Diceros bicornis minor: one gene and its partners. The protein of the gene in region 1 purifies or fractionates together with the protein of each later gene. This does not show direct contact. Links are inferred from orthologs where the notes say so. Each region holds a gene or a part of one and is shown in the gene's direction. Other genes may lie near its edges.

What was found.
Region 2: the proteins of PTP4A1 (region 1) and CNNM4 purify together in Homo sapiens (affinity purification with mass spectrometry; 6 studies listed by BioGRID and IntAct, with this or other methods). This does not show direct contact. The link is inferred for Diceros bicornis minor from reciprocal best matches to the Homo sapiens genes PTP4A1 and CNNM4.
Region 3: the proteins of PTP4A1 (region 1) and CNNM3 purify together in Homo sapiens (affinity purification with mass spectrometry; 6 studies listed by BioGRID and IntAct, with this or other methods). This does not show direct contact. The link is inferred for Diceros bicornis minor from reciprocal best matches to the Homo sapiens genes PTP4A1 and CNNM3.
Region 4: the proteins of PTP4A1 (region 1) and CNNM1 purify together in Homo sapiens (affinity purification with mass spectrometry; 4 studies listed by BioGRID and IntAct, with this or other methods). This does not show direct contact. The link is inferred for Diceros bicornis minor from reciprocal best matches to the Homo sapiens genes PTP4A1 and CNNM1.

What each region holds. Positions count from the first base shown.
Region 1 is NC_080753.1:7,766,423-7,774,112, reverse strand, and holds the start of PTP4A1 (protein tyrosine phosphatase type IVA 1), read left to right. Parts: upstream 1-4,672; 5' UTR 4,673-5,000; coding exon 5,001-5,105; intron 5,106-6,333; coding exon 6,334-6,426; intron 6,427-7,003; coding exon 7,004-7,134; intron 7,135-7,690. Other genes in the region: uncharacterized LOC128125822 homolog, read left to right, coding at 1,139-1,177, 4,561-4,656. UniProt on the Homo sapiens protein: Protein tyrosine phosphatase which stimulates progression from G1 into S phase during mitosis. May play a role in the development and maintenance of differentiating epithelial tissues.
Region 2 is NC_080779.1:15,849,115-15,857,097, reverse strand, and holds the start of CNNM4 (metal transporter CNNM4), read left to right. Parts: upstream 1-4,981; 5' UTR 4,982-4,996; coding exon 4,997-6,398; intron 6,399-7,983. UniProt on the Homo sapiens protein: Probable metal transporter. The interaction with the metal ion chaperone COX11 suggests that it may play a role in sensory neuron functions. May play a role in biomineralization and retinal function.
Region 3 is NC_080779.1:15,808,362-15,815,297, reverse strand, and holds the start of CNNM3 (metal transporter CNNM3), read left to right. Parts: upstream 1-3,930; 5' UTR 3,931-3,955; coding exon 3,956-5,309; intron 5,310-6,936. UniProt on the Homo sapiens protein: Probable metal transporter.
Region 4 is NC_080745.1:64,801,953-64,809,394, forward strand, and holds the start of CNNM1 (metal transporter CNNM1), read left to right. Parts: upstream 1-4,438; 5' UTR 4,439-4,673; coding exon 4,674-6,243; intron 6,244-7,442. UniProt on the Homo sapiens protein: Probable metal transporter.

The sequences.
Region 1 (7,690 bases):
GGGACAACAGCACTGAAAATGAATAAAAAGGAAGCTTTAGCTTTGACGCAGAAAATTACATCAGTCCTTGACAAAACCGAAGACTCCTAATTTTCAAAGCGCTTCCTTTCAGCAGTGCCTAACCTTTCATTACCTGTGACAACACATCAAGTGAGCAACAGTACAAAGGATGCATGTGATTTCGAAACGCCACAGTTGACTGCAGCTGCCCGTCGGTAGCACGGAGGCGTGACCAGAAAGGACTGTAGGCAGCTAGGGCTTATCCGCATCTCGGGACTCGCTCCCGTCTTCTGCGGGATCAGTCTGCGGAGAGAAGGTTCTCCCCGCCTGGAAGGGCCCCCGGCGACAGGCGCCCACGTGTCCGAGCCTCGGGCCGGGCATTCCAGGTGTTGAGTCACCAGTACGGCGGTCATGCGACATAAGCACTGATGACGGAGATGGCAGGGGCGCAGGTGCCAAGGTAAACCGCTGGCAAAGGTGACTGAGGTGCAGTGAAGGCAGGCGAGCGGCGTCCGGGCTGAGACGCGGCCCCAGCCCTGCAGGGACTGCATTTAAGTTGGAGGCAAACTTCAAGCCTCCCCATGTGACATGTGCGCACTCGCCGCTGGTTTTAACTCTGAGAACCGGGCTGTGCGGCGTGATTCCTCCCACCCACAGACCGGACTCTCCCCCGCTCCCACCCGCGCCGCAGCCCAGGCCCCGTCCGCCCCGCGTAGCTCCCCGGCCCCCGCCCGCCCCCGGCCGGGCCACGCGCCCACCCCGCGCTCCGCCATTCATCAACCGGTTCACACCGGCGGCGGCCGCCGCGCGCTGACGTCCGCAGGGGGCGGGGCTCCGCCCCCGCCCGTCGGCGCCCGGCCCGGGGCCCGGCCGCGATTGGTGGCCGGCGGGGCGCACGTCGCGCCGGCTATAAAAGGGCGGGCCTGTGACGCAAGGGCGCCTCGGCGCGCGCATTGGCTGCCCCGCCCGCAGGCCGGCTCGGGACGCGCTCTCCGCGGAGCCGCTCGCTGCATGGTAGAGTCTGGTGCCCCCGCCGCCGCCCGCCGAGCCGCCGCCGCCCCGCGACCATCGCCGCCGCCTGCCCTGCCGCCGCCGCCGCCCCCGCCGCCTGCGTCGCCGCCGCCTCGGGACCGGCTGTATGATTAGGCCACAATCTTCAATGAGTAAACATATCGCTGTGAGTATCCGCCGCGCCGCCGCCGCTCGGCCGGGCCCCCGGCCCGCCGGCGCCTTTGTTCGGAGCCCGGCGTCCGCTCCCGCCGCCCCGGCCGCGGTTCCGGGGGCCGCGGTTCCGGGGGCCGGGCGCGGGCCGCGGGAGGCGGTTGGCCGCGGGGCACCGGCCCGAGCCCCGCGAGCCGGGGCGGCGGGCGGGGGCGGTGTGGGCCGCCGCAGCGGCCGGGCGGGGCGCACAAAAGCCGCTTTGTGACCGGCGCCCCCGCCCCCGGCCCGGTCTGGGCGCGCGGGCGGGCCCGGCGGCCCGGGGCCCCTTTGTCTGGCCGGCGGAGCGGCCGCCGGGCGCGGAGACGTGGCCCGGGGTGGGGCGCGGGCTGCGCGTGTGGCTGCGGCCGGAGCCGGCGGGCGCCCCCGGCCCGGGCCGGCGAGGGTGGGCGGGGCGCCCGGCGCGCGGTGACGGTCTCGGCCGGGGCAGCCTGCCCCGTGCTCCGCGGCCCGGCCGGCGCTCCGACAAGATGGCCTCGGCGCCGGCGCCCGGCTGGAGGCGGCCGACCCCGTGATTGCGGGGCGCCGCGGGCGGCTCCCTGCGCCACCGCCGCGGGGCCCGGCGCGGACTCGGCCAGGTGAGGACGCCGGCGCCGAGCCCCGCCCTGCCCCAGGGTCCCCACCTGGTAGTGCGAGCTGTCCCGCATTGGACGCCCCACTTGGGGCTCCGGGGAACGGGGACAAGTCGAGTCTTGTCCCTGCCCTGGGGCGCGTCGGTGGGGAAGTGGCCCGGGTCTGAGCGCCTGGGGAGCTGCCAGGGCTGCTGTCGCGCTGGAGCCAGGCGTCCCGGCCGGGCACTCCCTGCCAAGCTGCGACTGGCCCCGGATGGCGCCTTGTAATCGGGGGCTGTCGAGATCTGCTGCTGAAATCCTTCGCGTGCTGTGTCGTTGCCTCCTGTTGGCGGTGGCAACAGTAGCCGCCCGGAGCCAGCGGGCTGAGGTTTGTCTTCTGTCCGTGGTGGGAGCCTCGACCGTTCCAGGAGTATTAAGTTGTTACTTGCGCTGCAGTTGGAACCGTCGGCCTGCTTGGGATCCAGATTCTGAGGCAATGCTTCCTGTTACTCTTTATGTGAATTTTGTTGGGTGGCGGTAAATCAGTTGAAAGCCAGAAAGCTAGATCTTTCCCAGGAGTAAGCGGCATTTTGCACACGCTTTAATATCCATGCGTTTCCTAAGGTGTAAGTGGATGGGGAACAGAGTCTCCGGCCAGCTATGGGACAGAGCGGTTACAGGTTCATTGCCTTGACTCTGCAGTGTGACGGACTGACTGAAGCTTTGCACAGAAGTTGCTCTTCTCCCCCCGTGTACGTTACTGTGATTATATGCAACTGATAAGTGGGAGGCGAAGAAATTCCTTGGTACTTCCAAACTGCCTCTGATGGATAGTTTTTCCTCGGGTGAGGACATGAGACTGGGAGAATGTCTTGGGTCGAACAGGAAGGTGGTTGGTATTAGTGGTCACTGCTACTTCGGTGGAAGTCCCCCCCAGCCGCTGGGTGGCTCCACTCAGTAAGACTAGCCAGTTCACTAAGTGAATTATTTCTGTATTGCTTTTTCTACTTCCTGGTGAAACCTGAAGGGATATGGCCAGACTCAGCTGCAACAGGAATTTTAGCTGTTAAATAGGCTTGAAATTCTCTCTCTTTTGTAAATCGGCTTTCAGTTGAAAAAAGATATTACCTGGAAATCAGAATACTGAGATAAGAGTCATTGCCTTTAACTGCTTTACAAATGACTTCCTTAATTCATTGTATGTCTTTGGAAAGGTGCCAGAATACACTTTTTATTCTAAGGAAGTAATATTTAGGATTTGAGGTGACAATATAATTGAAATTATTTCCAGATTACTGCAGTCTCTATTCACGGTAATCGGGAAGTTCTTGATGGTAGTTTAGTCACTCGTTTTTAACCCAGCTAGCAAGTAGATGAAGTAACAACCTCTGAGTGCTTATTTGAACAAATTTGGGGGCTCATTTGAACAAATTTGGGATAACGAAAGTTTTCTTCTCTGTGGGATGACGTTTTAAGAAATGACTCCTGCCGCTAGTTACTTTATTTTGACAGAAAAATGAACTGGGTTTTTGACTTGATGTTTTCTGTGATCTGCTAGATCTCTGCGTGAATTATTCTTCAAAATTTAGCCAAGTTCTTTTAGAAACTACTACCAGCATGGAACTCTATTTAAAGGTGTAAAATGAAAATAGGAGAAGATACTTTGAATTTAGTTTATTCGGTGATTTACCGCTGAGAATACATACCCGGAAAGTGTTAGGGGCGGCAGCTGGCGCTCGCTGCGTCTTGTTAACCTGCTGCTAATATTTCTTAGTCCTCTCTATTCCCAAGTACACAAGCTTCTTAGAAACTCTTTGGAAGATTAACATTAACGTCGATGTTTTGTGTACCTATTCTGAGAATATCTATGAATATTCAGTTAATGTTTGATATTCGCAAAAAATTAGTTCTCTTAAGGGGAGCTTGGGAAAAATACAAATACTATTTATTTGTTGGTGGTAGTAGTTACCTTGCTTTTGAGACCTGTGGACGGTGCAGGGTGACTTCCACCACCCTACCACCTCCTCCCTTTGCCCTTTGAATTAGAGTCCAGTTTTAGGCTGGATAAGTGAAATTTTGGTTTTAAAATACAAAAGAATATTACTCATTATGAATATCTTTTATAGTTATAAATGAGAATTTTTTTAATTTATAAACATATATCCTTGTAATACTTCACATAACAAGTTGACTAACTTCTAGAGACTCAAATGAGGAAAATCTGTTAAAAGGGAATGATAAATTAATAGGTTGTTAAGGATCAGATGAGGTAGTGTATATGGAAGCATTTTGAAAGCTAGTTTCTTTTTTTTCTCTTAAGAATATACTGGTTAAGCCTTTAAAGGAGTAAGTAAATTATGCAAGGACTAACAGCTGGAAAGTATTCATGAAGTTTGTGATGTGTAAAAATATTTTATTAGCTGGAAAAATCAATATAGAAAGTTGTACATATAGTTTAGAACAATGTAAAGCAGACAACCATTAAAAAGAATAATTAATAGAAGGATCTGTAGAAGGGATATTGACCAAATGTAACAGTGGTATTCTTTAAGGGGTCTTTGTAGTGGATCAGTAATTTCAATTTAAAGCAGTCTATTTGTGAATGCTTGCTTTATGCTTATTGATTTAATCTGTAATCACCCTTGTGTTTTGTGGTTCAGTAAAAGTTGAAAAGGTGGCTTGGGCCCAAATTTCAAAAGGTAGTTGTGCACTTAAGTACTATAAATGCCTAACATATTCCTTTTGAATTGGAAAACAACTTTTTTTGTCTCTCTCTCTCTCTTTTAAACAGCAGTTCTGTGGTGTTCTTGGTCACACATTTATGGAGTTTCTGAAGGGCAGTGGAGATTACTGCCAGGCACAGCACGACCTCTATGCAGACAAGTGAACTGTAGAAATTCATTACTACTCCACCAAGAAGCCCCCATAAGAGTGGTTAACCTGGACACAGTGTGGAATTGAAATCCACAGAGCATTTGACAAGACTTCTGACCTGGATGGGGTAAACCTCAGTGCACTTCCTTTCTGTTGCCTCAGTATTACTGGATTGAAGAATTGCTGCTTCTTGTTAGGAGGTTCATTTCATTTCCCATTACTCCCAGCTCCATACTCAAAGCACTGAGAATTTCGAGTGGAGTATATTGAAGTAGACTCAGTTTCTTTGCATCATTTCTGTATTCAGTTTTTTTAATTCTTTCATAACCCTGTTGAGTGTTTTTAAACTAAATTAACATGGCTCGAATGAACCGCCCAGCTCCTGTGGAAGTCACATACAAGAACATGAGATTTCTCATTACACACAATCCAACCAACGCAACCCTAAACAAGTTTATAGAGGTAAGATTTGATACTTTTTAATGTCTTAAACTGATTGCAGTTTAATAGTGGGGCTTTTTATCTACCAAAATAAATATTATTTTGGAAAATTTGAGATGATATGCCTACAGTTCTAAGTCCCAGAAATGAAATGTCAGTGTCTTTCTGTTAGAGGTGAATTGATGTATACATTTCAACAAGGACATGTGCTTGAGTTAGTTTGGATTTGTAAGTTAGTATCTAGTTCTTCAGGCCTCAAAATTTGCTTAATTTAAATTTATATGTGGACACTATAACAGTATGGCTCTCCCTTACCTTATAAGCCATATATAGGAGGAAGGCTGCTGGTTATGGATTGTTCCTATATCCGCTTAGCCTGATGACTAATACTGTAAACCGGAGTTAGTTTATGTCTTGACCCCATTTGATACTTAGAATCAAATTTTTAGCCATTAGCTCTGCTTCTTGCTGATGGTTGCTAGATGAACTCTTTCACTACCTACCTCTGTGACTACAAGGAAGGAATGTAATGCTAAGAAATTTATTTGAATGCATACACATTTTATTATATAAATATCTACAGATGCTCAGAGACAACAATTAGGTCTTCCAGATCATAGAAATACTTTTATTTTTGATTACCATCTGTATGTTTTTTAAATGCTGGAAGTCGTAATTAGTAATAATCCATTCTGAGTCTTAAAAGCCTGTAGTTGGAAATGGTGTGGGGTTTTTTACACTGTTTTCGGGATTTTAGAGTCTTTGAATATACTTTTAAGGCTTTGAATTACACACTGTGCTGCCAATGAGCAAAAAGTTTAAGGAGTTAGTATAATTGAGTCAAGTCACGTGATTTATAGTTGTTAGTGATTCCTTTGTTCTGTTTACCTTCATCCCTGCATTACTTCTAATCCTCCTTTATTAGTGCTTCATCTCTGTCTAACCAGTATTACCATGACTGTAAACAATTTTAGTATGTGAAGGGCCACAGGATTTAAAACAAAAACAAAACTTCTGATTTATTAAAATATACGTGATGTTTAACATTCCCTTTGTGCTATTCTAGTATTGTCATTTAAAACACGATTTCCCTTCCCTGTTAAACATACATAAGTTATACCATTTATTCCATGATTTTCTGTTAACCAGCAATACCTGTTGGAGAGATGATCAAAATGACGAATGGTGACCAGTAGTGGTGTGGTTATGAAGACCTCATTAAGTGTTTTTTTATGTGTGTTTTATCCAGGAACTTAAGAAGTATGGAGTTACCACAATAGTAAGAGTTTGTGAAGCAACTTATGACACTACTCTCGTGGAGAAAGAAGGCATCCATGTTCTCGTAAGTATTTAATAGTTTCTATGTGTTTATGATACTGTGCTACAAAAGTTTATTTAAATAAACCACTGACTTCAAAAAGCTTAATTTAGGGCCGGCCCCGTGGCTTAGCGGTTAAGTGCGCCGTGCTCTGCTGCTGGCGGCCCGGGTTCGGATCTCGGGCGCGCACCGATGCACCGCTTCTCCAGCCATTCTGAGGCCACGTCCCACATGCAGCAACTAGAAGGATGTGCAGCTGTGACATACAACTATCTACTGGGGCTTTGGGGGAAAAAAAATAAATACATAAAATTAAAGGGGGGGGGATTTAAATATTTTTAAAAAAAAGCTTAATTTAAGTTGTTACAAAATTATGCAGTATCTTAATTTCCAAATAAAGTGAAAGCTAAGCAAAGGTTTGAAGTAATAGATCTTTTTAAAGATTCAGCATTTATTTGCATTTCATTGACAGTGGGGTTTTGTAAAACACGGTTACATATGTTAAAATGCTTTTGAAAACAGTTGGGTGTTAGCAATTTAGAATTATTAGTGTGATGTTTATATTAAAAATCTGAAATGCTTAAATATTCTTTTGACTTAGGATTGGCCTTTTGATGATGGTGCACCACCGTCCAACCAGATTGTTGATGACTGGTTAAGTCTTGTGAAAATTAAGTTTCGTGAAGAACCTGGTTGTTGTATCGCTGTTCATTGTGTTGCAGGCCTTGGGAGGTAAGAGAATCTCTTAAATCCATTTAATGGTGTTGGTCTTAATTCCAGTAAAAACTTGACTTTGACTCTAGTAAAGACTCAGTTATCACTTTGTGAATCAGTTTGCTTTGTTAGGTTACATACTGAACTAAATTAAAAAGTAGGTGAATGTAACAGAATAATGTATTCCAATACAGCTGGAACTAACAAATGCTATAGCTGCAATTTACACTTGTCTCTGTGGGCAAAATTACTTATAGAATTAATCATGTGTGCTAGGTTGTGTCGGTATTGGAACCATTGTCCAAGCTCATTGGGAAAAGGGATTGTGAATCTAAAGTGGTCTGCATTGCATATGCTGTACTTCTGATGTAGGGTTTTGATCCTAGAGATTCTGATTCGGTAGGAATGTATTACCCAGTTCTGCCAAAATATGCATGTTGATATTTGTAAATCACTACCACCACCCTCCACCCCCACCCAAAAAAAGTTCTAGTGGAGAAGAGTGAAATGAAAATCAATGGCCCCAGGGGTATTGACATGCAACTGTGTCGCAGTCTCATTAATGATAAAACAG
Region 2 (7,983 bases), on another chromosome or scaffold:
ACAGTAGGGAAGAGAAGAAAAGGAAGAGGCAGAGGGTGATGGACTACTTTGCAAAAAAACAATCTGTTTTTCTAGGCGGAACTTCCATTTTCTGCTTTATACACCCTGTGTTATTTGACTTTGTTGCAATGAACACGTCTAACTTAGCAATTTTAAAAGCCCAGTAAAAATATAAAAATACACAAATGAATAAATGAACGAAACGTAATGTGAAAGTCTGGCCTGGGGAAAGGAAAAGAAACATTTACGGAACAGTGCTTTCAAACACGAGCTCATTTAGTCCTTTTGATACGGCGAAAAGGGTCTCTTGATCCTCATCTTAAAAATGGAGAAACCAAACGCCCTAAGAGGTGAAGAACTTTGCCCCAATTCACCAGCTGATAAGGGATAGAGCCCATGACATTTCTGCTACAGCCTGTTCCCATCTGCCAACTAAGAAAAAGGGGCAGAAACTAGGGACAATGACTCCAAGAACTTTGTTTTCAAGCCTTTGTAAATACTACTCAGTGTCTGTCATCTTGCTCTTTCTTGTTTTTCTCCAGTGATTCACAGTTAATATCTTCAAATAAAAAAGGGTCTTTGTGTTTTCAGAGGCAGAAGGAAAAGCTTGCTGGGGTAGCCAGTCTTGGGGACAGAGGGTGCTCCAGCGCACAATAGGAAGAGGGAAGCAGAAAGGAAAGAGAGCAGGCAGAGTCCTGGGTCCACTCAGACCCTCAGACCCGGTGCTACGTGGGACTCCTCCCAGGGGCCTTAGTGCAGCAGGGGCTTCCTGGCAGGCCTTGCCTTGCAGGGTTGTTAAGTTTTTTCAATCCCAAGTGACAGGCTTCCTTCTCTCCCAGCTTGCCAGCCTTTGCAGCCTGAGCCTCTTGGTGCTGTGAAATAGCACGATAGTCCTTTCGCCTTCCCTCCACCAGCTCTACCTCTGCCCCAGCCTCCTTTCTTCACTTACAGTGGAGGCCCAGGTGTCCAGATGTGGTCTTGCTTGGTCCTTGCTGACCCACCTCAGCCTCCTTTCTTCCCCCATAATCCCCTACTGATTTTCTCCCTCTGCAGGAAAGGAAAGGGAAAGAACAAAAGGCTGTAGCTGAAGCTGGATGGAGAGACATAATGGAGCTAAGGAAAGTTGAGTGTCCTCTAAAACTCTGGGCCTCATCATTTCCATCATCATCATGGTTACTGATCACGTTTACTGAGCTATTACCACGGGCCAGGCATCCTCTCTCTCAGCACGCAAGAATGTCCCAGAGTCCCAGGTCACACAGGCAATCTGTGGCCATGCCAGCCCTGCAGTGTGCCTCCAGAGCTGTGCCTGAACCCCCATGGTGGGGCATCCTGCCTCCCATGGTCCTGTCCCAAAGGAGGACAATTTGTCCTATGGCCATGGGAGCCTTGAAGCCCACCCAATTAATACAAGCTTCCTCACCTTTGCTGCTCCGGCATTTGACTCCCTGTCAGAGGCACATCCTTTTATTGGCCTGGATTCGCTGACATGATGTTTTCATCCCTGCTTCAGGCTCAGTGAAGTGTCTGTCCCAGGTAGGAATCATGACACCAGGTCCTCATGTCCCCACTTGCTGGGATGATCTGAGTTGGGAGTTGAAAGGCACCATCCCAGCTAACCCCATGCCTGCTCCGTCCCTTTGTGGAGGGATGACTGCCCCTTCCCTCTTGCGACACTTGAATGGCATGGATGTATCTGCAAATATCCTGCTCAGGGTTATTGTCCACTTACAGGCAGGCAGTGAACAGGCCACTGTATGTACTGATGATGGCCCAGGTTTCACCCTGAAAAGGTGTCCCACTGCTCCCAACCAGGCTCTCGCACCCCAGGGTCCATGGCATCCGCTGAGGGACTCTGCCCAGAGTGGGGCCATGGCAGGCCTCAGCCTCTGAACTCCACCAGCAGACAGGCAGCTTCTCTGCCAGCAGCTCCCCATCTTGGAGACCCAGAGGTTGAAAAGGGCTAGGAATCCAGCCTGGGAGGATCCCAGACTAGAGAGAAGAGCAGGAGATCCCAGGTTACTAATTCGGGACCTTGTTCATCATCTGATCCTCAATGTCAGTGCAACGCTGGGTACAGAAAAGGGGGCCATAAACCTTCAAGGCTGTCTCTCTGCACAGGACCAGATGGAGTGGGCTCAGTCACAGAGGCGTAGATGTGCTGCCACAGGGCCTAAACCTGGAAAGAACCCATCAGGTCCAAGGATCTCTGAATGGAGTGCTTTGAGATGCTGAGGTACCAGATCCTTCTGAGAAGGACCTTCCCAAACCCCTTACTTGCAAATGGAGGCAACTTAGGTGAGTAAGGGCCTCTCCACCCAGAGGCAGAGAAACAGGTCTGCTCCCCAAAGAAGACGGCCTTCTCATTTGCAGTCACTGTCTGCCATTCGCACAGCCTGGCTCACAGCAGCCACACACACATCCAGGCTTCCCCACTCTTCATATTAATAGACCTCCAACTCCATGTTGCCCCCAGCACTCTGTGGGAGAGGTTTTTCAACTCTGCTGACCTGGAAAGGTTAAATGCTCTAACCAGGGATGCAAGCCTGGGCCTCCAATGCCTCCTCCAACACTCTCCACGTCATACTGCATTCACCTTTCACTGAGGGATTCTTGTCTCCTCCGCTAGATTGAAGGCCCTGGGAGGGCAAAGAGGAATCTCATTTCTTTACTTCGTTGATTGTCCTCTATTTACCTCATCACAGATGTGAATGTAATCACAGATGGGTATAATTAAATGAACTTCAGCAGAGACTGATTTTTCCTACCAGACCCTCATCACCCCTCCCACTTTTAACCCAAGTATCTTAAAAGCTTATCTTTTCCTTCCCTTTGCGGGCTTCTGTCTTTGGACTCAGTGCACATGTAGAGAGCTTCTGAGTAGAGACAGTCTGAAAAGGGCAAAATAAAAATAGCCAGTGGGTCGATAATGGAATGGGAAAGTCTCTAAGTACAGTGGGGGAGGGCACTCATCCTAAAGCCAGCTGGAAAGAGATGGGGGGGGGGTGGGCAGAAGCCTCCTGCGGAGCCGGGCTTGCTTTGAGGCAATGCAGGTGGCTCATCTGGTGGGTGGAGGTGGGAGGGAACAGTCGCTCAAAGGTTCTGCTTTCTGCTTTTGTTCTGTCTGGGCCAGTGCCCACCCTGAAGCTCCTGTTCCCTACAAAACTAGCTGGCTGGACCCTCACTGTGGAATATGAAGTGAGGCCCCTACGTGCAAGGGACTGCTTTCGGCTGGGCTAGTATGCAGAGCCCTCTAACCCTGCTAACAGTGCTTCATTACATCAGGCCTCTGCCACCACGCCTCCTCCCATAACAGTATATGATTGTTCCTCTCTGTTTAGACTCTTTCCGGCTGGTATTGATTGTTGCTTTTATTGGCAAACAGCATACCAAATAAAAATAAACACAAGTGTTTGTGCAGAGGGAGATTAAAGGGGATTCTCTGTCTCCAGGGCTGGGAAAAAACTTGCTCCGAGACCCAGTGGTCAACGTGGTCCCTGAGTCTTCCCTCAGCGCACCTCTGCAATTATGCTAGGGATGTTTGTTTGTCTCCTTCCCCCTACAGGGCCGGCAGCTGCGGGCTTCCCCACACACCCTGAGTTTTTGGCACTTAATTCATAGTAATTCATAGCTGCCAACTGACACCGCGGTAGGGCCGTCCAGGAAGCAGTCATCTCAGGGCTAGGCTGGGGCCGCGCCTCTCGGCTTGTTTCCACATGCGGCTGCCCCAGATGGCCAGTCACCCCCACAATTTGGGGTTAGGGGTTTGGTCCCGGAAGGGCAGGCAACAGCAACAACAACAACAACAACAACAACAGCTACATAGCCAAAGAACATTTAGAGTTGTCCTGTCGTGTTTAACACCTAGGCCACAGGCTTAGTGAAGTGGTGCTGTGGTACAATTCTTACTCTCATTTTACAGATGTAGAAACTGGGGCTGAGAGACCCTCGAACTTGCCTTCCCAAAGTCACACAAGCCTGCCCCTAAGATGACGATCTCTAAGGACCCCAATCTCTAAGGACCCTGATGTGTGCCTAGACTCAATTTCTTCATCTGTAATATGGAAATAATAACACTACCTCTTAGAGTTGTTCAGAGGATTAAATATTATGTATGTGTTTGTTTTGCCTGTTTTCTTCTCTAGACTGTAAACTCGGGCGGGTAGGGACTTTGGCTTATTCACTGCTATATTGTCAAAGTCGGGAACAAGTGCCTAGCACACAGAAGCTCAATATTTGTGTCCTAAATGGAAACGACATGAGATAAGCCAGGCCAGACCCTGGCCCTTCTATCTGCAGGTACATTGTACATCCTCAGTTCCCAGATTGGGGCTGGGAAAAGCCACTGCTGGCCTTGGGACAAGGCCAGCAAAACCCCCAGGAGTGCGGAGGCCAGAAAAGTCTTCAAGGCGCTGGCTGCAATGCCGGTGGACTTGCAGGCCTCCCGCAGGCCTCAGCCCTCAGGTTCCTCTTTTCTTTTCTTATATCAGGAAAAGCATTTTCCTCGCCGAATCACAACGTGGTGTGGCTTCTGAGGTTCCTGCAGAGAAGGGCCAGCCGCCCCGAGCTGCAGACTTCTGCGGAAGGGGAACGGGCAGAGCACGCCAGGCCCGGCCAGGCTGCGGACGAGGGACGGCGCGGCCCCGAGAGCGAGTCCGGGCGCAGGAGAGCGCGACTCGCGCGGAAAGGCGGGCGAGGAACGCGCGCGAAGAAGAGGGCGGGGCGGGCGCCCGCCGGCGGCTCCCGCGCTCCGGCGCCGCTCCACCTTAAGCGCCGGACCGCCTTAAGGGCGGGCGCTGGAGCCGCGCGCCGGGGGCGGGGCCTCCCATGCAAATGAGGGGCGTGGGTTGGCGGGGCGGGGCGGGCGGGGCGCTGACCTGACGTCAGGCCCGCGGCCCGGGCAGTTGGCTCGGCGGCGGCGCAGCGGCAGGAGCGGCGGCGCGAGCGGGGCTGCGCGGCGGGGCGCGGGGAGCGGCGGCGGCCGAGCCGGAGCAACATGGCGCCGGTGGGCGGGGGCGGGCGCCCGGGCGGCGGGCCGGCCCGAGGGCGCCTCCTCCTGGCGGCGCTGGTGCTGCTGGTGCTGCTGTGGGCGCGGGGGGCCCGGGGCCAGGGCGACCCCCAGCGAGGCGCGATCCTGGGCATGAGGCTGGCGAGCTGCAACAAATCGTGCGGCATGGACCGGGATGGCATCATCTTCGTGTCCGAGGGCAGCACGGTGAACCTAAGGCTGTACGGCCAGAGGCTGGGCTCTATCTCCAGCAACCTCATCTCCTTCACCGAGGTGGACAACTCCGAGGCCGTCCACAACTCCACCAGCTGCCCCGAGCTCACCAAGGACCTGGTCGTCCAGCAGCTGGTCAACGTGAGCCGCGGGAACACGTCGGGGATGCTGGTGGTGCTCACTAAGTTCCTTCGGAGAAGCGAGAACATGAAGCTGTATGCACTGTGCACTCGGGCCGGGGTGGACGGGCCCTGGCAGAGGTGGACGGATAAGGACTCGCTGCTCTTTATGGTGGAGGAGGCTGGGAAGTTCCTGCCCCTCTGGCTGCACATCCTCCTCATTATGGTGCTGCTAGTGCTGTCGGGCATATTTTCTGGCCTCAACCTGGGGCTTATGGCCCTGGACCCCATGGAGCTGCGCATCGTGCAGAACTGTGGCACGCAGAAGGAGAGGCGCTATGCCCGCAAGATCGAGCCCATCCGGCGCAAGGGCAACTACTTGCTCTGCTCGCTGCTCCTGGGAAACGTGCTGGTCAACACCTCCCTCACGATCATTCTAGACAACCTCATCGGGTCTGGACTCATGGCCGTGGCCTCCTCTACCATTGGCATTGTCATCTTTGGGGAGATCGTACCTCAGTCCCTGTGCTCCCGACACGGGCTGGCTGTGGGTGCCAACACCCTCATTCTCACCAAATTCTTCATGCTACTCACCTTCCCCCTCAGTTACCCCATCAGCAAGCTGCTGGACTTTTTTCTGGGCCAGGAGATTGGCACCGTTTACAATCGGGAGAAACTGATGGAGATGTTGAAAGTGACAGAGCCCTATAATGACCTCGTGAAAGAGGAGCTAAATATGATCCAGGGCGCCCTGGAACTACGGACCAAAACTGTGGAGGATATCATGACCCAGCTCCAAGACTGCTTCATGATCCGCAGTGATGCCATCCTCGACTTCAACACGATGTCAGAGATTATGGAAAGCGGCTATACCCGCATCCCTGTGTTTGAAGATGAGCAATCCAATATTGTAGATATTCTCTATGTCAAAGACTTGGCCTTCGTGGACCCGGATGACTGCACTCCCCTCAAGACCATCACCCGCTTCTATAATCACCCAGTGCACTTTGTCTTCCATGACACCAAGTTGGATGCCATGCTGGAGGAGTTCAAGAAGGGTAAGGCCTGAGGCAGTTCTCCTGGTTAACTTTTGTCACCCCTCTCGTACTCTTGCCAGTTTTGTGTCTGCTGCTCATAGTGTTCCTTTCGTGTGACCTTGTGTACCTTTGCCCATCACCTCTTGTGCCTCTGAGGTGAACGGTATTTGGGACAGCAAAAACAGTTCTTAAGCGTCTGCTGTCTGCCAGGTACCGTGCTTTGTGCTTCAGGTGAATCAAAGCTGAGTGACACACCTGCCCACTTGGAGGGATAGAGTAAGGCCTCATGGAGCTGTTGAAGCGAGACAGAGTAAGGCAACAGCAACTAGAAGGATGTGCAACTACGGCAAACAACTATCTACTGGGGCTTTGGGCGGCGGAGGGGGGGGGGGCGAGGAGGAGGAGGATTGGCAATAGATGTTAGCTCAGAGCCAGTCTTCCTCAGCCAAAAAAAAACAGGAGGATTAGCATGGATGTTAGCTCAGGGCTGATCTTCCTCACACACACACACACACAAAAAGACAGAGTAAGGCAAATGCCCAACACCAGGGCATGGAGATTAGAGCCCAGAGGGGCGCATGTGACTGGGGTGGGGAAGGAGCTGGGGAACTGGGAGAACCTTCACAGGGGAGGGAGCATTTGAGGACAGACTTAAAAGATGGGGAGACTTGGTACCTGAGGCAGAGGGAACCCCATGAGCCGAGAACCTGAGCAGGGGAGCAAAGGATGTGCTTGTTGCCCAGCAGGTGGTCCTGTTCAGCTGAGGATAGGCTCTGCTGATCTTTGTCAGTGAGGGAGAGGCTGAGTCATTAGCGGCCTTGTGAAGAGTCTGAAAGGATGGTAAGTTTGCTTGGAGCTTGGAGCTATGGAAGGTTTCTGAGCAGGGGATTGCCGTCACTGGAGCTTCTAGCCCACAGAAGCTGAATTGGGAGGTCTCTAGTTGGCTCCCCACTCAGAACAATGCCAAGTAATGCTTTGACTATTCAGCAGAAGCAAGCAGATTAAGTTTTGGTTATTGTTCTGTCTTTCCCAGGCGCCAAACATAAGCTTCTCTCCTGCGGTCTGCTGGAATCTTCAGCTGGCCTTGCATGGCCTTGTGTTTTTTTCTCACATGGCTTCTTGGCCAGTTCTCAGGTAGTTAGAGAGGCGCTCGGAGGGTTTGAGGGAGCCTCAAAGCTCAGGGCACACACCCCTTTCCTTACTTCCAACAAAACTTTCCTCCCACCTCTGCCCCTCTGAAGCCCTCGGCGTGGCAGTAAACAAGCCAATTATAGAGTAAAACCCTCCTAGGCCAAGAGGAATGAGGAGGCAGAAAGGGAAACTCTTTATAAAGGAATGGGGTGCAGGGGTGCTCATCCTAGACCCTGAGACTTTGCTTCATTTCCCATAGGTAGAGCTCCTGCTGGCTAAGACCTAGGTCAGCCTGGGAGCAAGCCCCAGACCCTTGTCAGTTGTTTCTAGAACAGTGGGTGCAGGAGAGCCTGAAACTAGCTGGGTCAGTGGGTGATGGAGTGGGCTAGGGAGGAGCTGGCTGGCCTTGGCAGATTTGGTCTGAAAAGATGCCAGGATGGGGAGTTGGTACCCTGCCTTTTTCAGTTTCACAGAC
Region 3 (6,936 bases), on another chromosome or scaffold:
CTTCCTCCTCCCAGTGCAATTTGTCACTTCCTATTCCAACCTCTGGTTCCTGGGCTGAGCCGTGCCCTGAAGCTGGCCCTCCTTGCGCGTCTTCCTGTGTAAGGGAGACCTTCGCAAATGGCCTCCAAATGGGTAGGCAAGTCACAGCCACCGTAGCAAATAACTCGTATTTATTTTGCATAAGATTTTAATTTGTATATTTTTGTGATTTATTTTGGCATTGTTATGAGTTTGACTCTCGGGGAGTTTTGTTGTTATGACTCTTGTGTCTTTTGTCACAAAACAATGATAATATTTGCTAAACAATATATGGAATTTATTTTTGATTGGTAATAAAAAATGAGATACGAAATCTTGGTGAGTCTGCCATTTGACTGTTCGAGTTCTGTCAATACTCAGTGCCTGTCATAGAGATGGAAGTGGCTATGGTTGGCTGTCACCTGTGACAGGGCAAGAGACAGGTATTCTGGGACTGTTTAACAGTGAAAAGGAAGCAGAAATGTTATTTACAAAATTATATAATCAAGGCTGTTGTCACAGGAGCTAGAGCGTTCCAGCTGCTATGAGACATACAGGGCAAACGTGCTCAACTGCCACAGTCAGGAATCCTGTAAAATGGATGTCATGGGGTCTTCTGCCCGCAGGAACTGGAGGGAGCAGTTGGCATGGGCAAATTCCTCTCTCTCCCCCTGGGGGCTGGAGGAGAAAGGAGCTTGATCCGAAAGTGTGATCACGTTTTATAACATGCAGTTGCCTTTAAGGTCCGTACTCATGGGCAGGCTGTGGTGTCAAAGTGGGAGCACTCCTCCCCTGAAGAGCCGCCCGAGAGCGACCTCACTGCTTCCACTCTGAGGTTTCAGCTGTGCAGACTCCTGCGCTGCCCACAGGTGCCGTGGCCACGGGCTCAGGCAAGCCAGGTTTAACAGAGCAGGCAGATTGGGGGGAATGTTTACAGAAAGGGAGGTGCTTGTATAGGCAGAGAGAGGACATTCCAGACAAAAGGAATAACTCACGCAGAAGCTTGTGTATAGGTGGGCAAGAGTCAGTTTCATCCATCTACCTGTTCCACGGCTATACTCGAGCTGCCCCCAACCCCTCAATAAGCCCAGTGAGGAAGACCCCTCTGAGGGAGTCACGCAAGGACCTTTCGATTTGCTGTCTCCTACACCTGGAACACTCCTCCCAGGTCTTGGTGAGCCTCACCCCTTCACTTCATCTAAGCCTCTGATCAAATGTCACCTCCTTGGAGAAGCCTTCCCTGGTCACCCCATCTAAAACAGCATGGCCCTAATCCCTCTGTCTGTCCCCATATCTTGCCTTGTTTTTCTCCATAGCACTTATTGCCAGATATTAAAACACAGATTTATGTATTTTCTGTTGTCCCCACACTAGAACCTAAGCTTCAGGAGGGGGGGGACTTCCTTATTCCCACGTAGTCCCAGCGCTAGAACAGTACCTGGTACATGGCAGGCACTCAATGCAGGAAATAGTTGTTGAATGAATGAGTGAATGGGTCTTACAATAAGGTAAGTACTGAATACTATTGGGGAGGAGCACATAGCTCCCATAACCTGGACGCAACCTAGGCAAGATGGTCGAGGGAGACCAGCTAGAGGAAGTAACGTTTGCAGACTTGATAAGCAGGAATGGGCCAGTGAAGTCACACACAATAGTTATGGGTTTAAAACTCAAGAATAGGGGCCGGCTCCGTGGCTTGGCGGTTGGGTGCGCGCGCTCCGCTGCTGGCGGCCCGGGTTCGGAACCCCGGGCGCATGCCGACGCGCCGCTTCTCCGGCCATGCTGGGGCCGCGTCCCACGTGCAGCGGCTGGAGGGATGTGCAGCTATGACATGCAACTATCTGCTGGGCTTTGGGGGGGCGGGACTCAAGAATAAATATTTAGATAAAACATGGAAATGTCTTGAACCAAATGACCAGTACTGAAAATGGCCCAGGGAGGGTCAACGAGGGACCTGAAGGTCAAGTGGCAAGTGTCTCCATTGATGTTGTGACTATCCAGGGGATGGGGCAAAGAGTGGCACAGAGCCAAGGAAGAAGGCTGGTGAAGTACTGTTGAGGCCTCTATTGTTGGAAAGTCACTCTGCACGCAGCTTGGTTTGCCCTGTACTGGACTCTTTGTCCTTGAGTACAGACAGTTTAATGACCATTTGTGTTTTCCAAATGTGACCCAATTGTTCTTCTACTCCAAGCTTTTCCCCCAAAAACAAGGTATAGGTTGTTTTCCAAGGGAGCCTGAGACCAAGGAAAACATAACTTGGCAAAGGTCAGAGCCCTGTCTAAATCCATAGGGAGTTTTCCTGTCTTTCCTCTGGAATTGTTCTTGGCTAGTTAGTAACTTTTCAGGCACATGACTCCTTTCAAGCCTGTGATCCATTCTATCTCAATGTCAGCATTTTATCTAGATTTGGAGACACAAGTGAGAACTAAAGGGGCTGAATCCGTTATTTTTTTCTTCAAAGGAGACATGCTGATCCAGTGGAAAGGCTCAGTGGTGTCATAACTGCTTCTGCTGATGGCTTATTCTGTAATCTGCAAGTTAAGGCACACTACTCAAAGGGTGTAGCACCGTCTGGGGTATAAAAACTGGAAACATGGAGATGTGGCTGGTCTAGTCACCGTGCTGAGTTTACAGTGTAGAAGAGACACTATTGCCATCCTTTTAAGAGTTTTTCACAAGAAATTTTTTCTTTTGGTCATTCACCATGGGTTTATTCATTTTGGCACATTACCTTCCACACAAACATTTTCCTTGTGGCCACAGTACCTATAGTCTTTTATATTATTTTCATGACATAGCAAATGTGTTTCTATAGAATCCTTACACAGATCGTTGTAAATGATGTGTATGAAGTCTTACCAAGGTCTACTTATGTTAGGAAATTTGAAAATACATAAAAATGTAAAGAAAATACAAAAATAGTTAATCTGGACACCCATAGAGAAGCCTTGTTAGCAGTCTGTCTATTTCCTTCCAGCCACATAAAGATCATATATAATGGGTAAAAGACATTCCACACTGTCAACGGACCATATTGTCTTCTAAAATAACTCTCCGATGAGGAGTCTCTTGAATAGTTCTTCGTGGTCCTGTGGAGTTATTTTCCCAAGGATGATCTGCTAGAAGTGGAGCGACCAGACACAGTAATTCCTGACAGAGCTGCCGTCTCCTAATGGGGCTGGGATGGTGACGAGGGTATTAGGTCGCGTTGTAATCCAGCATCCATGCCGAGTCATGCTTCACCTTTTCTCCCGTAAAATATTAATAACACGAAGTTGCTGCGAGGATCCAATGATGTCGTGATTTCGCACGTTTACATATTCACCATCCTCCCCGGCAGGAACGCAGGTTCCTTGAAGGCAGGGGCGGTGTCTCACGTCCCCAGGTCCCCAGACCTACAGCAGAGTGGGGCACGGTCAACAAGCATCTTCAATAATCCTTAGCTTCCCGACGCCCAGTCACCGGTCCTTCTTCCAGCCCTCCCTGCTCTTTAGGTCAGTGGTTCAAGGGGCCCTGCCCTAAGAAAACAGAGTGTCTCCCGGACACTGGAATCTTTCTGCAAGCCGCTCCGCTCGGCGCCCGCAGTCCCCAGCCAGGGACTTCCCAGAGCACGAGCCCGGCCGCCGGCGCGCGGGGACGGCCCGCGGGGACCAGACGCCCGCGGAGGCGGCCCAGCTCGCCGCTCTGCGTCCTCTTGTCCGAGGCCACCTCTGGCCCCAGCAGCCGCGGCCGAGCCCCGCGGGGCCGAGAGCCCCACGCCCCCGGCGCGCCCCGGGATCGCGCCGCCGCTTGTTTACTCCCCGGCGCAGCCTAGTCCGACCCTGGGGCCCGCCCCCGCCAGCCGCCTATTGGCGGAGGAGGCGCCCAGGCTGGCGACGATTGGCCGGGGGAGGCGGCGGGGTAGGCTGCACGGGAGGCCGAGAGGGGGCAGCAGGCGATGGCGGCGGCGGCGGCGGCGGGTCGGCTAGGCTGGTTGCTCGCTGCGTTCTGCCTGGGCAACGCCGCCGGGGAGGCGGCGTCGGGCCCGCGAGTGCTGGGTGTCTGTCTGGAGGAGGACAGGGCCGCGGGCGCGGGGTGGGCGAGCGGAGGGGAGGTGCGGGCCGCGCCGGAGGCCACCTTCCGCTTGCGCCTCTTCGGCTCGGGCTTCGCCAACAGCTCCTGGTCCTGGGTGGCCCCCGAGGGGGCGGGCTGCCCCGAGGGCGGGCCGGCCTTGGCGCCCGAGGCGGCGGCCCCCACGGGCGAGTGGCGCGCGCTGCTGCGTCTGCGCGCCGAGCTCGTGCGCCCGCGCTCGGCGCTGCCGCCTGTGCGTGGGGAGCCGGGCGGCGCGGCGGCCGAGGAGGCGGCGGCCCCCACGGGCGAGGGGCGCGCGCTGCTGCGCCTGCGCGCCGAGGCCGTGCGCCCGCACTCGGCGCTGCTGGCCGTGCGTGCGGAGCCGGGCGGGGCGGCGGCCGAGGAGGCGGCGCCGCCCTGGGCGCTGGGCCTGGGGGCGGCGGGGCTGCTGGCGCTGGCGGCGCTGGCGCGGGGCTTGCAGCTGAGCGCGCTGGCGCTGGCACCGGCCGAGGTGCAGGTGCTGCGCGAGAGCGGCTCGGAGGCGGAGCGTGTGGCGGCGCGGCGCCTGGAGCCCGTGCGGCGCTGGGCCGGCTGCGCCCTGGGCGCGCTGCTGCTGCTGGCCAGCCTGGCGCAGGCGGCGCTGGCGGTGCTGCTGTACCGCGCGGCCGGCCAGCGCGCCCTGCCCGCCGTGCTGGGCAGCGCGGGGCTCGTGTTCCTGGTGGGCGAGGTGGTGCCGGCCGCCGTGAGCGGGCGCTGGGCGTTGGCGCTGGCGCCGCGCGCGCTGGTCCTCAGCCGCCTGGCCGTGCTGCTCACTCTGCCCGTGGCGCTACCCGTGGGGCAGCTGCTGGAGCTGGCGGCGCGGCCCGGGCGGCTGCGTGAGCGCGTGCTGGAGCTGGCGCGCGGCGGCGGAGACCCCTACAGCGATCTCAGCAAGGGCGTGCTGCGCTGCCGGACGGTGGAGGACGTGCTCACGCCGCTCGAGGACTGCTTCATGCTGGACGCCAGCGCCGTGCTGGACTTCGGCGTGCTGGCCAGCATCATGCAGAGCGGCTACACGCGCATCCCCGTGTACGAGGAGGAGCGCTCCAACATCGTGGACATGCTCTACCTCAAGGACTTGGCCTTCGTGGACCCCGAAGACTGCACGCCGCTCAGCACCATCACCCGCTTCTACAATCACCCACTCCACTTCGTCTTCAACGACACCAAGCTGGACGCCGTCCTGGAGGAGTTCAAGCGAGGTAACGTCCGGGAAATCGCGGAGGGGACTCGAATGCCAGCGGCCTCCCCTACAAAAGGAGTGGGAGTTTATGGAAGCCTCGAGGAAGGGGTTCCATCCCTCTGGAGGGCAGTGAGATCTCTAAGTGCTCTTTTAAAGAAGAGGATGGCCTTGAAGCTCAATGATTTTTTGTAATATATAAAAGGCTGTCTTTCAGAGAGTGACAGTGCTACGGAGAGCAAAATCCCCCTTTTCCTGGTCGGCCCCCAGTTTGGGGAGGTGTGTTCACTTGGCTCTGACCCCCAGCTATTTCCCTTTCCCAGGTCATTTTTGTGGGCTTTGTCTTTGTAGCAGGTTGACACTCTTGGGTGGAAACTAAAAGAACATAGAAAAGAGTACAGTCTGCACATATCTGGACGCAATTACCTGCACACATATGGTATCAAATTAGCTGGGCTGGTGATGTTTCCAGGGTATCGTTGTTAAGGTCACTGAAGGGCTGCTGCCTTCCTGAGTACAGAAAAGGGAATGACTCATAAATGCTTTTCTGCAGGTGTGGAAGAAACTTCCATTTTGATTTCACCAAAAGCAACTTCGTTGATGTGGATATAGTCTCCCCTTCCTTTGTCTTCTTTTCTTTCTTTCTCTTTTTATTAACTTTCTCTTTTCTAATCCTGAGTAAGGGCTCTCAAATTCCCCCTTAATTCCACTTTTTCACCCTCTCCTTTCATCTTGGTCTATCTAAATAGTTCTAAGGTTGCAGGTAAAAACTGACACCCACCCTCCCGGTGTGGAGGTGTGAGTTCCTCTGCAGTGCTCTCCATTGTCAGGCTTGGGTGTGCTCTCCAGATCCTGGCTGCTCCTTGGTGGCCAGCCCTGCTTCTCACATCTGAACTCCTGCAGGATGGGCATGGGGGACATCCCAGGACTCTGGGTGGGCCTGACCCTAAAGGCTGCATAATGTGAGGCCAGGAAGTGAGCAGAACCCTCTGATCTTTCTGGCAGCTGCGATGTCTCCTGGCCCCAGGTGGGCTTGGGAGGTGCTCTCTGAGCCCCTGGACAGTCAGGGCAGGGAGGCAAGGCTTTGTGGTAATGACCCCATTACTCCTGCTGTCACACTGCTGTATGCCAGCCACTTGTAGGTGTTCTCACACATCATCTCCTGTAATCCTTGCAGGAGACTTGGGTGTTAATAGGCTGTTACTGTTATTACTGTGCCTTCAGATGGGGTGGGAGACTTTGATGGGCAGTTCTGATTTTTCTGTTAGAGAATATCTTGGGTGCTTCTGGCAGTTTCCTGAGAAAGTGGCCATGCAGCCCCTCTCTGGGCAGGGGAGCCTGGAGTGGGGGCCAGACAGCCTCTGGTGGTAAGTACTCCATCTGGGCCACTGCAGTTTCCGAGGCAGTGGTGGTTCTTGTGGCCTGGTGGCCAGCAGTGCTGGCCCTGGAGTCAACTGGGGAGGGTTCCGTCCCGCCCCTGCCACCTCCCATCTTGAGACCCTGGAGGGGTGGACTTGATCGCCAGGGCCGTGACTGTGAGCAGAGTACGGCACCGTCTGAGTGGTTTTCACAGGTCACTGACGGGTGAGGAGACCAGAGTAGGGAGACCAGTGTTTAGGGGGGTCCAGATGAGAGATGATGGTAGGCTG
Region 4 (7,442 bases), on another chromosome or scaffold:
GAGGAGGCCTTTTCATAGCCCATGAACTGAAAATGATTAACTCAATCCTCTGTGCCTGTGGTAAAACCAACAAATAAACAACAATAACAATAGAGGGTGAGGGGAAGGAAGGAAAAAGGAAAAACATGTTTATAAATAGTTTTAATGAGGGAAAATACTTATGCCATAATGACGAATGAGAGGAAACAGAATAATACAATAGTAGGAACATTACAAGTGCAACTATGTAAAATAATGTATGTAAATGGACAAAAGTATGGACAAAGCTATAGGCAGTGTAGTGTAAAATCTTGACCACCAAGGTACTTAATCTCTCTGTAGCTTAGCTTCCTCATGTAAAGTGGAAATAATCATAATAATACCCACCTCCAAAAGTTCTTATGAGAATTAAATGTGTTAATTTATGCCTGATATCTAGTAAACGTTATGTAAGTGTTACTTGGTATTATTATTTTCCTAATTTTTTATACTGTAGACTCTGGACTCAGAGTCTGTCCAACCAACTGGGCCCCACTCCCCGTTAATGACGTGGCTTTCACAGTTACCCAATTAGAGCCTCAGTTTTCTCACCTATTGTGAGGATTAGAAAGGATAATGTACTCAGCACATAGTAAGCACTCAATAAATGTTAATGGATTATATTATCAGAATATTATTATTACATTGTCATAGTTTTAAAAGTAGTACAAAAAGGAATAGAAGGCACAAAATACATTTTTCATAGTCTTCCTAGTGTATAAATTCTTCCATTTTCATTAAATTTCATTTTTGGGTATAGTCTTCCCACACCTTCCTCTCTAGATGGGCCCCCAGATTATATACTTGCATGGCACTTTGAACATCTCCTTCATAGGAGTAATTAATTAATTAGGTAGGTAAGCAGTCTCTGGTTCATGTCTGTCATCCTCAGTAGACTCTCAGCTCCATCATGGCAAGGATGGTATCTGTTTATGCACAATGTCTAGCACAGGGCCTGGCACCGTGTTGACTAACAAGAATTTATTGAATGAATGAACAAGTAATGAAATAAGCAAAAGCATTTAACATGTATATTATGAAATAGCATAGTCATGAGATTAAAGGCAAGTATCATTTCCTCCACCTCTCTAGGAAGTGAGGAATTGCCCATCTTGGAAACTAGGAAGTGCTTATATTGTAAACTAGAAAGGTAGTCAACATTTAGATTCTGGGGAGCTATTTTTGGCAGCTCTTCCTTATTAGAATCACACTGCCTGAACCTGTCCCCAGGAATCCTTTCACTTAGAATAGAGCTCTGGAAACTCAGTACTTTTGCAGAATCTCTTATTCAGTAAAGGAAAAGTACTTAGTCTTTCTAGATTATCTTTCCCCAGTGTACATTAGCCCTTACTCACGGACTCATAAAAGGGTTGGGACCTTAAAATTCTCTTTTATTTCACAGATGAGAAAATGGGCCCAGAAAAGTAGATTGACTTTCCTAAGCCTAACACTTGTTAATAATAGAGCTGGTGCAAACAGAAATGAGATCATTCTTACAGTTCTCTCTCTCTCAATATAATATAATATAATGTAATATAATATAATATAGTGTAATATAATATATATATATCCAATAATGTAATAGTATCATTCACTAAAAATTACATTTATGGGGCTGGCCCTGTGGCCTAGTGGTTAAGTTCAGCATGCACTTCAGCGGCCTAGGTTTGGTTCCTGGGTGCTGACTTATACCACTCATCGGTGGCCATGCTATGGCAGCAACCTACATACAAAATAGAAGACTGGCACAGATGTTAGCTCAGGGTGAAACTTCCTCAAGCAAAAAGAGGAAGATTGGCAACAGATGTTAGCTCAGGGCAAATCTTCCTCAGCAAAAAGAAAAAAATTATGTTTATGAAAGTTTTTTTTATTACATTAGGAAAAATGCTCTTCATATGTTAAGTGACAGAAGCAGACCAGAATTGTATGTATAATATGTATTCAATTATAGAATACAGAAATATATGAGGGCATACATATGTGTGTGTATTTCTCAGTAATCTATGTAGAAAATAAAAAAGCGTGTCAAAATATTAACAGTGTTTATCTCTGGTTGGTGGGGATATAGTTTATTTTTATTTATGCTTTTCTGCAATAAATTTTATTTTCAATGAGCATGTAATACTTTATAATCAGAACTTTAGGTTTTTTAATTCCTGATCTAACGTTTTTGAAAAGTTTTATTTTGGTACTGGTCAGCACTGTGGTGTGAGGGAGCATCAACCTAGAATCCAAATCAGTTGCACCAGTCATTTAACCTGATCTATAAAATGAGTATAATTAAATCTACTTCACAGGGCCATTGTGCACGTGAAATAATAAATATGAAATTCCTTTGCAACTCTAAAGCTTGATAAAGGTGTTAGGTGGTATTATGTGGATGATAAAGGCCCGTGATCTAAAAGAGGTGGGAGAGCCCTTAGGATAACAGCTTTGTGCTGAGGAGCTTATGTTGGCAGAGGAGAGAGATCTAAGTGTCAGGAGAAAAGTGAGAGATTTTTTGCCAACACTTACCAGAAACAATCACATGCCTTACCCCACTTCTCCCCTGTATATCCCCTGTACTTCCAATAAACGCCTCAATGTGCCCTCTTCAGATGAAATCTTCTGTCTGTCTCTTAAGCAGCCTAGGCAAGAGGCAGCTTGTAGTGGACAGGATCTAGTGTATTTTAAGGCGATGGCAGGTTTGTTTCCCATTGCCTGCAGAGTGTGAAAGGCAGCCTATGTAGGAATGTGACCAGCAGCCTACTAAGGCCTTTCTAATCCCCAACCAGAAAGAGGCTCTTTCCACTCCGGATGATAAAAGTTTGTTGTGAAAAGAAGGTAACTTTTAGCTGGACCATTTGTATTGAGCTTTATTCTTTGCAGGGCTTTCTTTATCTTTGGGGTCTCACAAATTCTATGGAAAATAAGATTTCACACACAGCAATTATTTTTAAATTAGAAGTGCCAAAGTAGTATGCCAAATTATTGTTACTTTTATATTTTAAAAAGTAATACAGACCTATGGTAAATTTACCCAAGAGAAATGAAAACGTACGTTCACACAAAATCCTGCACATGAATGTTTATAGCTGCTTTATTCATAATTGCCAAAAACTGGAAATAACTCAAATGTTCTTTAACCAGTAAACAGATAATCAAACTGTGATACAGCCCATATAATGGAATATTATCCAGCCATAAAAAGGAATGAACTATTGATAAACACTACGACATGGATGACTCTCAAATGCATTACGCTAACAAGGTAAGGGAAGCCAGATACAAAAGGCTACACATTGTATTATTCCATTTACATGACATTCTGGAAAAGGAAGACTATAGCGGAGAACAAATTAGTAGTTGCCGGAGGATGAGGTGGGGGAGGGGTTGACCACAGAGACAGTAAGAGGGAATATTGGGGGGTAATGGCAGTATTCTTGATTGTGATGGTTACATGAATATGCATTTGTCAAAACTCATAGAACAGCACACCAAAAAGTGAATTTTACTATAAAAATTTTCAATAAATGCATGAAAGTAAAAATAAGGTAATACAGGCCCACGGTAAATTCAAACAATGCAAGGAATTCAATCAAAAGTTTCCCTGCTAGATCTTTGTAATGATAGAATAATTCTGTATTTTGATTGCAGTGATGGTTACATAAATCTACACGTGCGATAAAATGACATAGAACCATACTCACACATCATACCAATTTCAATTTCCTGCAATTTATATTCTACTCTAGTTAAGATGTACCCATTGGGGGAAACTGGGTGGGTGACGGGTACTGGGATCTCTGTATTATCTTTGTAACTTCTTGTTCATCTCTCTCTCCCTATATTTTAAAGTATCTTTCAACCAAACTTCCAGACTCTAGTCCTGCTCAGGAGGGGAACACTATTACAAATTTCTTGTGTATCCTCTGTATGTTAAATCTAATATTTTATATATGTATACATGTACATATAAATTTATACATGAATACTTTTAGCACAAATAGTAGCATATTATATACATCCTTCTGCACCTTGTTATTTTTCAACTATTACTTTGGAGATTTTTCCATATCACAAACACATGGATACACTCATTCTTTTTTTCTGGCTGCATAGTATTCCATTGCACAATGGTATTACATTCGAATCTTAACAAGGAATTGAATTTAAGTAATTTGGAAATTTTTGAAACATGAAAGGTCAGTTGGAGTTGAGACCAAACATAAAGTTTTCACAGATTCAAGACTTGCCTCCAGAATACCCTTTGACCAGAAGGGGGAACGCAAAAGGCAGGACAAGAGGCGAAATGCTGGGAAATTGCCTCGGCCAATGGGGAAGCGGTGGGCCGGCAGGGAATTACCGCCGGGTAGGAGTCTGCGGAGGGGCGCTCTACTGCTGGAGTGGAGGCCATGCTCCAAACCAAGCTTTCCCAGCTGCATCTCAGATACACCGAAGTGTGTTAGGGTTATGCAGTGATGCGTGAAGAGCTCCAGCCTCCAGCGGGGACCACCTGCCCAAGCAGGGTCTGAACCTTCACCGCCTCCAGCCCACGCGCGCAGGGGGCGTACACGTGCTGACCTGCCCCAGGCCAGTTCCCGGCCCCGGCTCCTCCTCCCTCCAGCTCTTGCTCCGCTTTCTGCAGTATCACGTGCAGCCGCGCCGGGTGCAGGATGGCGGCGGCGGCGGCGCCAGCAGCGGTGGGTGTCAGGCTCCGGCACTGCTGCAGCCGAGGCGCTGTGCTCCTGCTCTTCTTCTCCCTGTCTCCTCGGCCCCCAGCCGCCGCCGCTTGGCTGCTGGGCCTTCGGCCCGAGGACACCGCTGGAGGCCGCGTGTCCCTGGAGGGGGGCACCCTGCGCGCGGCCGAAGGCACCAGCTTTCTCCTGCGCGTCTATTTCCAGCCCGGGCCCGCGGCGCCTGCTCCTCTGGTGCCCGCACCCACCCTTTCCCCGGGGGAGAACGGCACCGGCGACTGGGCTCCGCGGCTCGTGTTTATCGAGGAGCCCCCGGGCGGGAGTGGCCTGCTGCCCAGCGCTGTCCCCACGCGCTCCCCGGGGCCGCAGCGCTGCCGCGAGCAGAGCGACTGGGCGTCGGACGTGGAGGTCCTGGGGCCCCTGCGCCCCGGAGGCGTAGCAGGCTCTGCTCTAGTCCAGGTGCGGGTGCGGGAGCTGCGCAAGGGCGAGGCAGAGCGGGGCGGCGCGGACGGTGGCGGGAAGCTCTTCTCGCTGTGCGCCTGGGACGGGCGCACCTGGCACCACCACGGCGCCGCCGGCGGCTTCCTGCTGCGCGTCCGCCCGCGGCTGTATGGCCCGGGCGGGGACCTGCTGCCCCCCGCGTGGCTGCGGGCGCTCGGGGCGCTCCTGCTGCTGGCCCTGTCCGCACTGTTCAGCGGCCTGCGCCTGAGCCTGCTCTCGCTGGACCCGGTGGAGTTACGGGTCCTGCGGAACAGCGGCTCAGCCGCCGAGCAGGAGCAGGCGCGCCGCGTGCAGGCCGTGCGCGGCAGGGGGACCCATCTGCTTTGCACCTTGCTCCTGGGCCAAGCCGGAGCCAACGCGGCCCTGGCCGGCTGGCTGTATGCCTCGTTGCCGCCGGGCGTCGGGGGTCCGGAGGAAGACTACGGTGAGGCGGGGATTCACTTCCCGTGGCTGCCGGCGCTCGTGTGCACCGGCGCCGTGTTCCTGGGCGCCGAGATCTGCCCCTACTCGGTGTGCTCGCGGCACGGGCTGGCCATTGCCTCGCACAGCGTGTGCCTGACCCGGCTCCTGATGGCGGCCGCCTTCCCTGTGTGCTACCCACTGAGCCGCCTGCTGGACTGGGCGCTGCGCCAGGAAATAAGCACCTTCTACACGCGGGAGAAGCTGCTTGAGACGCTGCGGGCTGCGGACCCCTACAGCGACCTGGTGAAGGAAGAGCTCAACATCATCCAAGGCGCCCTGGAGCTTCGCACCAAGGTGGTGGAGGAGGTGCTGACCCCCCTCGGGGACTGCTTCATGCTGCGCTCCGACGCCGTGCTCGACTTCGCCACCGTCTCCGAGATCCTGCGCAGCGGCTACACTCGCATCCCCGTGTACGAGGGCGACCAGCGGCACAACATTGTGGACATTCTGTTTGTCAAGGACTTGGCCTTCGTGGACCCTGACGACTGCACCCCGCTTCTCACCGTCACCCGCTTCTACAACCGGCCCCTGCACTGCGTCTTCAATGATACCAGGCTGGATACGGTGCTGGAGGAGTTTAAGAAGGGTGAGCAGTGGTCTATCTCCTCCCTCAACTCCTACCCCCTTCAAAAGTATTGCCCTTTCATAAACATGTGAGGCTTCAGTACCCAAAGCAACTTCTCTGCTACGGTACCAAAAACTCAAGGAAGGCCCATCTCATGGCTCCCTGGCTCTTTTTATTTCACTTCTCCCTACCTTTTTTGCAGCTGCCTGAGCCCCTGGACTCTTCCTCTTTACTTGGCTCACAAGATGTGCCTCACTCCCGGTTCCTCATTCATTCTATTCCAGTATTTTTTCAGGGCCTAACAGTTGCCGGGTATTGTGCAGGTTGAACTCAGGGGATAGCCCTTGGATGGGATTGCATGGCTCCCTATTACAGGAAGAACCTCTGCAGGTTCCCATAACAAGCAGCCTTTGCTTTAAACTCCTACCTGGGTGGGAAGCTCACCATTTCCAGGGCAAACTGACTCCATTGCTGGACAGCTCCAGCTGCTGACAATGTCTTTCTTACATGAAGCAGAAATTTACCTCTCCAGAATGTCTCTCTTGGTCCTAGTTCTGGCCTTTGGATCACGTAGATTCAGCCCCAGACACTTTAGGCATTCTCCCCTCATACTGAGTTTTCCATCAGCTATTCATTACACCAAGTACCCAGGTTGGAGATTAAAAGTTGAGTAGGACAGTGAGGTCCTTGTACTTCTGGGAACTGTGGTCCCACGAGGTAGGGTAGATCTGGACCTGAGGAAATATTCTGGTATAGGGACCCGTTAGAAAACTTGCATATCCAAATTAATGGGGTTTCCTTCAAAGCAGTCACCATCCCCCCCCTTGATGTCATGCCTATAACACATTTACTACATGTCTAGAGTTTCCCTTTAGAAACTGGCTTCTGGGGTTGAGTACAATTCACTCCAGAAAAATTGGCCTGGATATTTTAGAGTTGATTACAGGTGGCATTACACATGTGACTGATCACCCTAGTTAGCCAGAGCTGACACTGGAAGACCTTTGGTTGTTTTTGAAAATCAGATCTACCTTCAAGAGTCACCATTGAGAGCATTCAGAAGACTAACTCACAGACCCTGAAAGCAATTCCAGAAATGATTTGAGAACAGTAGAACTTTCCAGAATGACTATTTTGAAGGAGGTATTCATCTGTATATATGAGATGGCATGTTTATTAAAAACAAAACAAAACAAACATCAATCCCCCGACTTTAGAAT